2 linked regions of the Drosophila melanogaster genome follow. The protein of the gene in region 2 interacts with the protein of the main gene of each other region in a pairwise test. Each region holds a gene or a part of one and is shown on either strand. Other genes may lie near its edges. The genes, in order: Rab30 and Golgin245.

The links.
Region 1: the proteins of Golgin245 (region 2) and Rab30 interact in a two-hybrid assay, tested with the Drosophila melanogaster proteins (one study listed by BioGRID).

The regions. Positions count from the first base shown.
Region 1 is NT_033779.5:7,029,701-7,034,407, forward strand, and holds Rab30 (Rab30), read right to left. Parts: upstream 2,907-4,707; 5' UTR 2,537-2,906; intron 2,478-2,536; 5' UTR 2,406-2,477; coding exon 1,734-2,405; 3' UTR 793-1,733; downstream 1-792. Other genes in the region: caper, read left to right, coding at 3,265-3,318.
Region 2 is NT_033778.4:23,371,046-23,379,040, forward strand, and holds Golgin245 (Golgin-245), read right to left. Parts: upstream 6,001-7,995; 5' UTR 5,870-6,000; coding exon 5,786-5,869; intron 5,575-5,785; coding exon 5,487-5,574; intron 5,422-5,486; coding exon 5,246-5,421; intron 5,192-5,245; coding exon 4,988-5,191; intron 4,909-4,987; coding exon 1,198-4,908; intron 1,132-1,197; coding exon 1,060-1,131; intron 995-1,059; coding exon 878-994; intron 816-877; coding exon 798-815; 3' UTR 315-797; downstream 1-314. Other genes in the region: Ice1 (uncharacterized protein), read left to right, coding at 1-303; CG13551 (uncharacterized protein), read right to left, coding at 7,004-7,132; yellow-d, read left to right, coding at 7,821-7,995.

The sequences.
Region 1 (4,707 bases), on a different chromosome or scaffold from region 2:
GGTCGTGTATAATGGTCTTCAGGAGAGGTGGACGGCTTGCATTGACTGAGAAATGGTTTATAACGGGAAAGGAGATCAAAACCACAAGCACTGCAGAATTTCTCGATTTTTTGCTCACAACTACACTCAACACTCCAGAGATACTCCACATAATAGATTGGAAAAATTGGATGATTAGAGAAGATTGATGAATCTATACTTGCTGCAAATGTGGGGATACGAAAAAGTAATGCAATTCAAAGCTCTGCAAGCGTTTTATTTAAAAAAAAAAAACCACTTGTTTCGAGTGTCCCAACCCTAATAATCTGATAAGAGATGCATTTGCAGTATATTAAAAAACTTTATTTTCCCACAATGAAAATTCGATCGGCCGATTTTTAACTCTTAAAGTAATGAAGAAAAACATTCTGTGGGCTAAAGCACTTAATAATATTTGCAGTACCTATAACTTAAGGTGGAAGAGCTATTTGAACTCAGAATCGGAGTGGAACGATTTTTGCACGAAATTATTAAGGTGGTTAGTTAGATCCTGAAATCGATGGGATTTTTTTTTTTTATATGCATTATTGTACAAAATACTGTTTTAAAAACATTTGTAATTATTTATCGGCTAAAAGTTTACATTCCAATTATTGTGATATTTATATAATAACAAGATATATATTGCAGCTTTTTTAATCAACAACTTTTTCCGCATTCGTAAAAAGTTGATATACTTAATCAACATATTTTATATTTTACTCAGCTGTAAATTAATCAGCTGTAAATTAATTAAACACTCTTTTCCATTTTACTTGTATTTAGTTTATTTTTTATTCAGCTTTCTGGTCTATTCATAGTTTCTAATTCTTAATTTTTGGAATGTCATAAAATCACCTTAAACACTATTACGAATATCATTTAAAAATTGCATTACCAAAGATTGCACATTAATCGTAAAAATATGTAAAAATAATTGCAAATAAATATGCATAAATTGTGTATGTATACAAAAAATGTAATGTATAAAACATGCAATACTCCTTGGGAATTAATTGAAATAAACTAAATGGTGAGTCTAGCATTTTTGATATCATAAATTCTTCGTAGCATTGGCTGTGATGCTCACTTGGTAAACGATCCATAATCAGATCAATACATACGTCTATATAATACAAATCAAGAAAATCAGGCGGTCTTAAACACCTCCAATGGAGTTCTTGTAACACAAATATTTAGCATCCTTAGTCATTGACAGCTAGTTTCCCATAGGATCTTAATCGTGATAAATAGTAAATTAGTTTTTACAATCAATTTCTTTCTGTAAACCAAAGGGGATACAGAAATAATCAATTTTTTTAGTCTTGTAATTAAAATAATAAACCCTTAAGCATGAACAGAATATCACGATAACAGATAACAGATTAGCTGCACAGTTTCCAGATCCGTTTGCACATTGTACTTTAAATGTTTGTTGTTATCGTAGTTTAGTGAAAGCGAAGAGAATTGCTCTAAATACCTTTACATTTAAAGGTATTTGAAGCCGATGTGTTTTAACAATCTAATAGGAATCGTTACAAAGACAAAGGCAAACGATCACGTCATAATCATGCTTATAAAAACAAAATTTAACATATGTATGTATGTGTTAGAATGTGGGAGCATTGTGGTAATAAAAGATAAATGGAATATCACGATTAGTCCTTAACAAGTTACAGATTAGCTGCTCAGCTTCCAGTTCAGTTTGCAGCTGCTCAGCCGCCTTGACTAGAGTTGGAGCCGCCGCTGGCGAGTCCGCCACAGCAATTGCTCTGCGCTGCCTTGGCACTGAAGCTCCCCAGTCCGATGGAGCTGCCCTCCGACTGACGCTGGGCGGCTGCCGCTGCGGCCGAACTACTGCCATCCTTGCTCCTTGCCTGACCAATCAATTCGGCGGCAATCTCGTAGAACAGACGCTCTACATTCTCTGCCTCCTTGGCGGATGTCTCCAAGAAGTACATGTCATGCTGCTTGGCGAACTCTTCGCCAATCTGGGTGGGTATCTCTCGATCATCCCTGTCCGTCTTGTTACCCACCAGGATTTTGAGTACCTTGGAGTTGGCATACTCCTGGATCTCGCGCAGCCAGTCCGGCAGGCAGTCAAATGTGGGCTGGCAGCTGATGTCGTACACCAGGATCAAGGCGTGAGCCGATCGATAGTAGCTTTGCGTGATGGATCGGAACCGCTCCTGGCCGGCGGTGTCCCAGATTTGTAGCTTGATCTTCTCGCCCTCCACCTCCACGGTCTTAATCATGAAATCCACACCAATGGTGGCACCCTGGCCAGGTGGAAATAGACCCTGAGTAAAGCGGCGCACTAGGCATGTTTTTCCAACACCAGCATTGCCCACCAGGACGATTTTGAACAGGAACTTGTAGTCCTCCATTGGGGATGTTGCCAAAAATGGGTTGGTTTTGGGGTTTTTGAGTCGCTGGGTGTGGGCAAGTGTGTGTGTGCTCTGCGAAAGTAGACGAAAGTTAGTCGGAGCTTAGACACACCTAGTCAGCGACGCGTAACGATTATACTTTGCTGGCTGGTGGTGGTTCGTTGGATCAGCTTACGCCATCCCCAGCGAAGACAACGCCTCTCACCTGTGGCTCACCTGGGGCTCTATCACTAGCTGGCCAACGGCTGTTCGCCTTGTTTTTTGGCTTATTTGGCTAAAAGATGATGACTCAACAGCAGCTGTAGATGCTTGTTACTCGCTTATCTATGCGAATCGGCCCCAAATCTATTCAGCAGGCTTTCGGCCAGGTTGACTATGCTTGCAAATTTGTAATCAACTGGTTGCATGCTGCCGCATTAATTGCCAGCCTTAATTTTGCTTATGTTTACCAACAGAATTTTACTGTATTTCGACGTGATGGTATTTGATTAGAGATGTGACATCAATTCCCATAGCAATACTTAACGATGTTTTTCTCGGTATCGATAGATCGACGTTTTGCAAAGCACTTAAAAACTTTTTGAAGTACGGTCACTAGTTATCGATTGTTCATCATCGATAAGTTCTGTGACAACCCTGAAGCCGAAAACAAGCAGCCACGCTAGAGAAGAAAATCTGGTTGAAAATTGGCAAAAATTCTAATTAAAAAATCGCAAAAGCCAAAAGAGAAGTTCGTAAGTCGTCCTACGAATTCCGCTGTGCGTCCCCACCACATTTTGATTTCTCCAAACGTGCCAGACACCGAGCAGGGGACTTTTTTCACGGAGCACCCCGAATTGCAGCGAAGTAATTTTCGAATATGGCCGAGGACTTTGATGTGGAGGCGATGCTCGAGGCGCCGTACATGAAAAACGTAAGTTCCCAAAGGCCGGATAACAGCCAACTATCGTTTAAATTAAGTCCCACTGGCTTTTGTGCCCACCCAAGGCAATTATTTTGCTGTGCAAAAACAAAATGAAAAAAAATAGAAAAACAGTTACTTCATATGTATGTTTGTATACTTCTTTTCCCACATAGACACCCACAGGCGTACGTGCATTTTGTGTTTGTATGTAAGTCGTCTTCGTCTCGGGCACACACACACACACACACACATGTGCAGTCGATGCATACTAAGTGGTCTTAAATCGATTTTTAGCCTAATTTTGCTGTTTAATAAAAAATCGGCAGCCGGAACGCCAATCTGCGTGCTGATTTTCGTAATATTTTTTTTTCACACTAGACTGCGTTCATACAGAAAAGTGTTTCGCCAACGGAAAATCTGTCTGTGTGTGGGTTTGTGTTGTTTATTTTCCTACGCGGCATTTGATACAGTCGTGTACTGCAGTGGGTGTACAGTGGGGTGCAAAATATTTGGCAGGGCTGCAATAGCAACTGAAAACGTTTAACAAGTATCAGGGAAACTTAAAGGATTGAATTACTAACAAGACAGTCATGATTCTGTAAACTATAAAAAACAACGTATTTTAGTGATATTTTATATCTCTTACTAAACTTGGACTTTAATCTGTATTATTGACTGAAACGGATTTTGTAGCAATTGGTATTCCTCTTATCTTATCTGGGCAAACCATCTGTAATAATATTTATTAATAGGTTAAAACTCAGCCATATGAAATCATACTTGAAAAATCTCAATATATTATAAAATAATTTGTAGGTTAGCAAACCACATTTTTCCGTAGCATTTACAAATGCAATTTTCGGTGTGTTGTGGAATAAATCTAATAAAATTATCATTAATTAACCCAAAACCAAAATCAGCATTATTGTCCGACAGCTCGCCAAGGTTTTAGTCAATGTAGTAGTCTATGACATCCAGCTAAAGTTGGAAATTAATTGAATTGAATTCTTTCGCCCCAAACCAACAACTCATGAGTTCAACGCTCCTATTTCTTCCTATCTGCTGTCTCACTAAGAACTACCGACAACTACCCACACACAATCACCATTAAAAAATACAAAAAAAAAAAAAAAAAAAAAAACCAAACAAAAATGCTAGAATAATTCTTAAGGGTGAAATGTCTTTGCAGAGAATCGAATAAGCTCAATATTGTTGCTAGAGATTGTTTTGGTCATTCTAAACACAAAAAGCTGGAGACCATTTGGTAAGTTTTGAATGTGCCAGAAGCTGCGAAAAAAAACCAATTACAAAATTACAAAACAATAAAAAAAAAAAACCAAAACATATCTAGGCATTTTGTATAAAATATGATTTGTTTATGTTTGCGTTTTTTTTTTA
Region 2 (7,995 bases):
CTTCTGCTGCACTGCATCTCTTTGGTACTGAAGCCACTGCCCCTGGATACTGATATCTCCGCCTTCGTAGGCTTCCTGAAGCGCCTTCTCGTGGCAGTGCCACGATCCGGAGTTCAACTGGCGGCCGTCAAGGCCAGCCTACGTCTGCAGAGATTCGGATTCAAGTACACTCTGGATGCCCTGAAGGACTACAGGCCCAACTACGAGCTCGACCCGTTAACGCGGGCCATGATTCGATGCTTTGCGAAACGGAGGAGGCACTTCCGTCACGTGGCGGCCACTGGGCGGCGTACAGAGATTTGAGATTCCCTTTTATGAATTGTAACTATTTATTTATGTATGTTATTGTATAGATTTTGAATTAAACTAAATGCCAACTGCGCTGCGGATCTTTACAAATTTAAACTTACAACTAAAATACACAAAACGATTGCACTTAGGTTAGGCTGGGGTTAAGGTAAGTCGTGGACATGGGACATGGAGCGCAAGCAAGTGAATGAAACAAAGGAAAGCGTAATCAAAATGTACAAAAGTGCTTAGCGTGGATTTGGACAGAAGTAGCTATACTTAATTCGTGGACTGTACAATAACATGGATCTAGGATGCGGCATACACATACATCAGCGGCTTCTACTACTCGAAATGCCTGCAGAGTCAGCCGGAAGCACCCATGCCGTGCGCGAGGGTGAGGTATAAGTATAAGGTACTTGTGATCTCCGACATCATTTGCGGTCTAGAAGCGCCACCGGGCAGGGCTCCCAGTTCCAATCTCCGCCGTAGAGAGCCATCAGTTCATGCTAGATCAGTTTGTTCAGCTGCAAGTGTTTGTATTGGGTTAGTTAACGATGCAATATGGAACTCAAATGGGCTTCCCTACCAGCGATCGCCGCTGATGCTCCTTTTCCAGTGCAACTTGGGCCTGCTGCGGCGAAAATTTGAGCACTGCCGATATCACCTTGACAAGCGTCTCGTTGTTCGTGTTCCCAGTTAGGTACTGAAATGGAATATATCAGTTAGTTGGGAGTATATATTTGGACATTATCTAGTTTGATTCCCCACCTGGAACATGATGTTGCGCAAGTACTCGAATTCCGTGTTGGCCGGAACAGCCTCGCTGTGTTGCATGGATACCTGTCGGCAAGAGAAAGGAATCAGCAATGGAATCAAAGGGTGGGTGCACCGCTGCTATGGACTCACCAGGGTTTCATCCAGTTGCCGCGAGAGTTTCGCATTCTGCAGCTTAAGTCGCTCGTTGGACTGTTCGAGTATGAGGAAGTTCTCGCATTTTTGCTCCAGGAACAGGTTTCGATTCGTCACGTCCTGCACCTCGTTCATAATCTCTTTGAGCTTAGACTCCAGTTCAGCCTTCTCGCCGGCAGCGGCTGCCTCCTGAACGTTTTTGGGCGCCATGCTGGCGAGGAGTTGCTGGGCTTGTATGCCGGCTCGCAGGGTTTCCAGCTCGTTGATGCGCTCCGCCATCTGCTGGTTGTTAGCCTGCAGCTCCTCGATCTCCTGCTGCATATTGGACTCCGCACCGGCGCTCTTGTGCTTGAGATCCTCCAGCTCCCGTTGCAGTCGCTCGTTCAGGCTGCGCAGGCTGTCGGAGTCGGTTGAGGGGGATAAATGCTCCTTAAGGCAAATCACCTCCTGCCTTAAGCCATCAGCTTCAGCCTGCAGCAAGGCCTGCTCATCCCGACTCATTGCCAATTCGATTTGCTTATCGTGGAGTTGCTGCTGCGCTTGAAGAAGGTCTTTTTGGACCGCATCACTCTGCTCGGTGACAAAGCTGGCGTGCTCCTTCTGGCGGGTCAGCTCCACCGCCTGTTCCTCGATGGCCTTCTTCAGTTCGGACACCTCTGCCGTTGCTGTCGCACTCTGCGTTTCCTTTTCGGCCATTTGGACGGCATGCTGCTCGGCCTTCTCCTGAAGAACGTACAATTCACATTGCAGGGATTTCAGTTTCTCCTTCAGCTCCGCACTCTCAGCCAACTCGGCCTCCAATTGCTTCGTGTGCTTATTCAAATACTCGTTCTCGATCAGGATCTCATCGAATTTGGCCAATTTTTCGGAGGCTTCAATCTTTTCTTGTAGCTGACGATCCCTTGTGGCCATGGCTTCTTGGAGCTCCACCACCTGACGGTTTTTCTGGGCAATTGACTCCTTCACCTCCTCGCGTTCCTGGCCGTGCTTAATCTTCAACTGTTCCATCTCCAGCTGCAGGGCATCATTGGCTTCGTGAAGACGCTCTACGTCTGAGTTGGCGGCGCTCCAGCGAGCTTCCAATGTGGCAATTTGCGTGGTGTAGGACGAATTGGTAGCCTGCAGTTTCTCCTGAATGCCCTGCTCTGTCTGCTTATAAGCATCAAGTTGCTCGCGAAGATTGCTGATCGTGGCCTGCAGTTGGGTCTCACTTTCGCTGTTTTGGGCCTTCAATTTCGCGCATCGTTCGGCTTGGTCTTTCAGCTGCTGCTCCTGTTCTCTTTGTCGCTCTCTCAGCTCCGACAGTTGTTGGTCCTGCTCCTTCAGTTCTCGATCTAAGTTAGCCTTAACCCTATGCAGCTCCTCACTGGCCGACTGCAGGCAGTCCAGAGTGTGTTTGGTCAGCAGCTTATCCTTTTCGTAGGCATCGCATTTATCCTGCAGCGTCCGATGGTCGTGATCCATCAGCTCCTGGGCATTTTGCAGCTTCGAGTGCTCGTCGAGCACCTGTTGCAGCTTCGCCTGGATCTTGCCGATCTCGTCTTGTTTGGCTTGCAGTTGGGACTCCAAATGATTCGTCTGCTCCTCCAGCAGACAGTTGCGTTCGGCCAGCTTGGTGTTTTCGCTCTGGATCTCCTCCAGCTTAGCTGAGGTCCTCTCGTCCTGGGCACTGCTGTCCACTTGCTCCTGCTGCAGTGACTCGATGCGGGATTCCAGCTTGCGCTTCTCCCGTTCCAGCTCGCTGTGTGAGTCTTGCACCTGTTGCATTTGCGCCTGCATGGTGCCAATCTCCTCCAGAATTCCAGTGACGCGTGCCTGCAGCTCCTCCTTTTCGCTCTCCACCTGGCGAGAGTGACTCAGTCGATCTGCCAACTCACTTTGCAGAGCTTCGAGGCGAGCGCTTTGATCGCTTGATTTCGCCTGGTGCTGCTCGTGTTGCTTCTTTATCTTGTTCAACTTGTTGCCGCTGGCTTTCAGTTCCTTTTCCTTGGCCAACAAACTGGCCTGACTGGTGGCCAAGTCCTGACTAAGAGCCTCCAACTGCCCTTTTAGTGCAGCCACTGTTTCGCTCTCCGAGTTCGCGTGCTGATCTTGTAGTATTTGAATCTCTCGCTGTAGCTGTTCCAGCTTAAGCCTATGCTGTTCCTCCTGGGAGGCTTTCTCGGAATTCAAAGCGGCCACAGATTCGCGCTCCATTTCCAGGCTCTTCTCGAGTTCGAGAGCATGGAGCTCCCGTTGCGATTGAATGGCTGCCAATTCCTCTCTTGCCCGAGCGAGCTGAGCTTCCCAGTCGTTTTGTTGATGACGCTGGACAATTTCGAGCAACTGATCATTGTGCAAGCGCAGGTCCTGCAAACTGTGCTCACTTTCGGTTTTAAGCGCATTCAAGCTTTGCTCCAAGGATGCCGCTTGCTCTTCCTTGGCCGAGAGTGCGGCCTGAAGTGCGTTCAAACTGTGTTCAGTGGAAAGAAGTTTGGCTTCGGCTTCGTCCTTAGCTGCACGTAGTTCATTGATCTTCTGCTGGGAATCAGTACTTTGAGCTTCTCGTTGTTCATTAATGTGGTGCAATTTTTCTACATTCACATCGTTTTCCTTGGAAAGAGTTTTCAGTTTGTCTTCCAACAAAGCGACTTTCTCTTCCTGTGCTTTATAATCATTCCTGAGGGAGTGCAAAAGTTCTTCCGTGGCTAAGAGCTTCGATTCGGCTTCGTCCTTGGCTGCTTGCAGTTTCTTTTGCTGATCCTGTGCTTCGTTAGTTTGAGAATCGCTACTTTTCTTGTTTTCTCGCAATTTATCTAAGTAATTTTCGTTTTCTTGTTTCAGTTTACCCAACTGCTCCTTCAGATGCTTTAGCTGCTGCTCCTTGGCTGCTTGTTCGCTTCGGAGAGATTCCAAGAGCTGATCCTTGGACAAAAGCTGGGACTCCGCATCCTGAACGGCTGCTTGAAGTTTCTTTAGTTGCTCGCTTGAATCGCTTGCTTGGGTATTTCGATCTTCGTTCTGTTTCTGCAGATCTTTTACTTTCTGTTCGTTTTCCACCCTTATGGCTTCCAGTTGCGCTTCGAGTGTGACCACCTGTTGCTCCTTGATCGCATAGCTTTCTTTTAGGGTGTTCAGCAGGTGCTCTGTAGCCATAAGTTTGGCATCGACTTCCTGCTTCGTGGCCTGAAGCTTTTTGAACTGCTCCTTGACTTCGTTGTTGTGGGACTCTCGCTGAGATTCCAATTGCTTGAGTTTCTCCTGAAGCTTACGCACCTCGGTGTCCTTTAGCTCCAATTCCGTATGGATGGCCTGCTTTGTCTGGGCCAGAAGAAGCACGTTCTCCTCCTCCTGCTTGCGCACAGCTTCGTATTTTTCGGTCACACTTTTCAGCTGCTCGTCCCGCTCTTTAAGTAATCTCTGTAAGTCGGACACACCGGAACTGCCATTGGTGGACAGGGGCGACTTTCCGATCGACTCCTCCAGGTCGATTAGCTGTTCGGACTCCAGCTGTTGGCCGCTTCTCTCCAGAGCCGCCGTAATATTCTCAGGATTTTCGCCCAGCAGCTGGAGCTTCGTCTGATAAGCCTGCATTTTGCAGCTCATGTCGTCCATCTCAACGCGCAGAGCCTCCTCCAAATGCGCCTTGGCCTGCTGCTCCAGCGTGCACTGCTCCCTCAGCTCGCTGATTCGGCGCAGCGCCTTGTCTTGCGTCTCCACCAGCACAGACTGCAAAGCGATATTATCGGAAATGTTCGTTACACAAGCTTATCAAGCAGACCGATTAGATAGGCAGATAGATAGATACCCGCGCCTTGGAGCTGTCGCGTTCCAGTTCCTTGTACTTTTTGGCCAGATCCGTGTACCGACAGCGGTACTTGTGGTAACGATCAAGTGACTTCTTGTACGCATCGTACAGCTGGTCCTTGGTGATCACATCCAGACGAGCCGTTGAGGCGGAGTCGTCGAACTCGCTGCTCGTTTCGTCCAGATCAGATTGCAAGTGGTACACCTGGAAAGTAGAACACATAATTAAAGCAATCTCGGAGACTTTTCGGCCACTTACAGCTGGCGCTTCATATGTAGGCAGGCGGAAAGACACGTCGCTGGCCATGGACGAGTTGGAGAGCTTGCGGGTCCTGGAGGTGGCGCCGTTCAGGGATTGCGTCGATCGTCCGCGCAGAGCGGATGCACTTGTGGCCGGCAGCTTTTGGATGCGATAAGGCGAGTTCTGAGGTGTGTCTGCGCGGTGAAAGATGGATTGATATGTGAGATAAGGAACCCCAGGTGACTCATGGCGTACTCACCCTCCTCCGTGATGCTGAAGAAGTTCTCATTGTTGCTGGTGTTCGTTTCCGAATTGGGTGTTGTGCTCGACGATGAGCTCACGGCGGCCTGGGAAAAAAGTCCAAGGAAGACTCATGAGCAGCTGGTCACTTCACTTTTCACTTGTGCACCCAGAAATGGGTCACAATCGCACAATCGAAGGCGACCCCTTCCCAGTTCACCGACACACATGCAATTCCGTGTCTGTGTGCGTATGTTTTCCTCAATTTGCATTTTTCATCGGCAATAAGCACCGCCCCGCCCCCGCACACAAAAATACCTGTGCAGCATTCGCAAATTGCTGGAACTTCGAGGGCGACGCCTTCACCTCCTCGATCAGCTTGTTCTTCAGGTTGGCGAACATTTCGAGTGCCTGCTGCGCTCTTTTTCAACTGGTTGCGCTACCTGGTTTAAGCACTATTCAATTTGTAATTAAAAAACATCTAAATAAATACGTGTCTGCAGATGTTCATTCAACGGTCACACTGCCGATAGCCTCGGGAGTTATCGATAACAAGCGCAGTATTCATTAGGGACGAACGCAACTGCGGGTCATTAAGTTTATGAACGTGACGAAAAATTTTAATAAACATAAATAAATGTTACGTACAATGTAATTTTTATTTAATACACACAAAAGTAACAATTTAATTAGTTATAATTGATAATACCTACCTCCATGTTTTTTAATACCATCTTGGTTCAAGATATTTTCCACAGGTGGCGCAGGTTATCTTTAAAAATATTTGGAAGCCTGTTGAACGCCCTTTCAATTCTTTAAATATAGATATATAGAAAGTTCCTAGGTATGATGTATTCAATTTTTTCTAACAATACTACTATAATGAACTGTTTACACGCTAAAACTGAATGAAAGCTGGTCAAACTTGCTAATTATGCAATGATTTAGCATTTTAAGTAGCCGCTCGTGTTTGAGGAATCCTCATGTTGTGGGCAAAAACGCTTAGTTAAGCACCCTACAGTTTGTTTTTATTCGAAGATAATGCAGCATACGTTTAAATTGCACTTCTTTATTTATAAAAACCGCGCAATAGTTCGTATAACTGTGTTTTCTTGTACGTGAAATATACACTCTTTTCATAAATTCTATTTTTTACAAGTTGTTATTCTTTTTAAGTTAATTGATTTTTAGTCGATTATAACGGCAGGCGATAAGGCCTTAGTTATTAACGAAGAGGAATTGAAAAATAACTTATAAAGAAACACATCAACGAACTTTATTGCTTTGGTTCTGTAACGAAGCGGCCATAAACTTTAGTAACCTGTTCCAGCACGAGCTAAAGATGAGCTTCTAGTTAAAGCATTCAAAATATGGATGGTTTATTACGCACTTTTCAAATACATATATAATTTTTGGGTTACTGGTAAGTGGTAGTGAGCACTTGGGAACATACAAAAGAGAGTGAAATGCATTTTAGTAAATGTCTCGAGTTCATCCGTCCGTGCGGTCGCCTTCTGCCGGTGGATGGATCACCGCTCACTTGTGCAGGTTCTCGAGGAACTCCTTGTGGCGCTGGATGGCCTCCTCGTGCTCCTTGATCTGCTGGTGGTGGAACTCAGCCTGGTGGATCTGGTCGTTCTTAAGGCGATCCAGCTGCTCCCTTTGCTGCAACGAAACGAACAATGATGGATTCTCTCGATTAGCCGGTGCGAAATACAATTAGTGCTAGCAAGTCGTAAAAAGCTAATTGCTGGTTAGCTAAGCCCGCCCACCCCTGAAGCTTGCCATCAATATTGATCGACTGTCATCATTAGCTGCCAGCCATATAAGAGGCTTTACTACAAGAGACAATATTTGGTTAACAATTTTCAGACCGAACCCGTCACACGGGCAGACAAAAAGTTCGGATATCGCCTGAATGACCACGACAAACAGTCGACGGAAGTCTGTAAAGAGTGCGAAAAAGATCGGGGGAAAACCACCTGCCGCCAATGAACCTGAATCATTGTCTGCCGTTCTGCCTGCTCGTCTTCAAGCCACCAAGCTAAAAAGCCTGTTTTCAGTTGATAGTTGGCTACCGAAGTGAGACGTCGAAGAAAGTGTCGTTAGATCGGGGTCACCGTATTAAATTATTCCGCATTGTTAGGCCGCATCTGGCCAAATATCAACAGACCCTTGCTCTTAATTGGTCGTCAACAAGTAGACAAAGCCAGGCCGCGGTCCACACTCTTCGATCTCCGCCAGCCAGCCTGCCTGCCTCTCTGCCACTTATCAACGCCTCAGGAACCAACTTGCTTGATAAGCAGCTGCCCTTAGTTCGAACAGAACATTTACCATCCGACTCTGCTGCGGAATGGTTATGATGCCCCTCCGGATACTGCTGATCGCCTTTTCGCTGACGCTAGCCCAGAGCTATGGCGTCGGTGTCAATGGACCGCGTCCCGTGCGCACTGTAGAAACGCTGACGCAGTGGGGCCAGCTGGAGTTCGGATTTCCCACGGCGCAGGATCGGGAGAACGCTCAGGCGG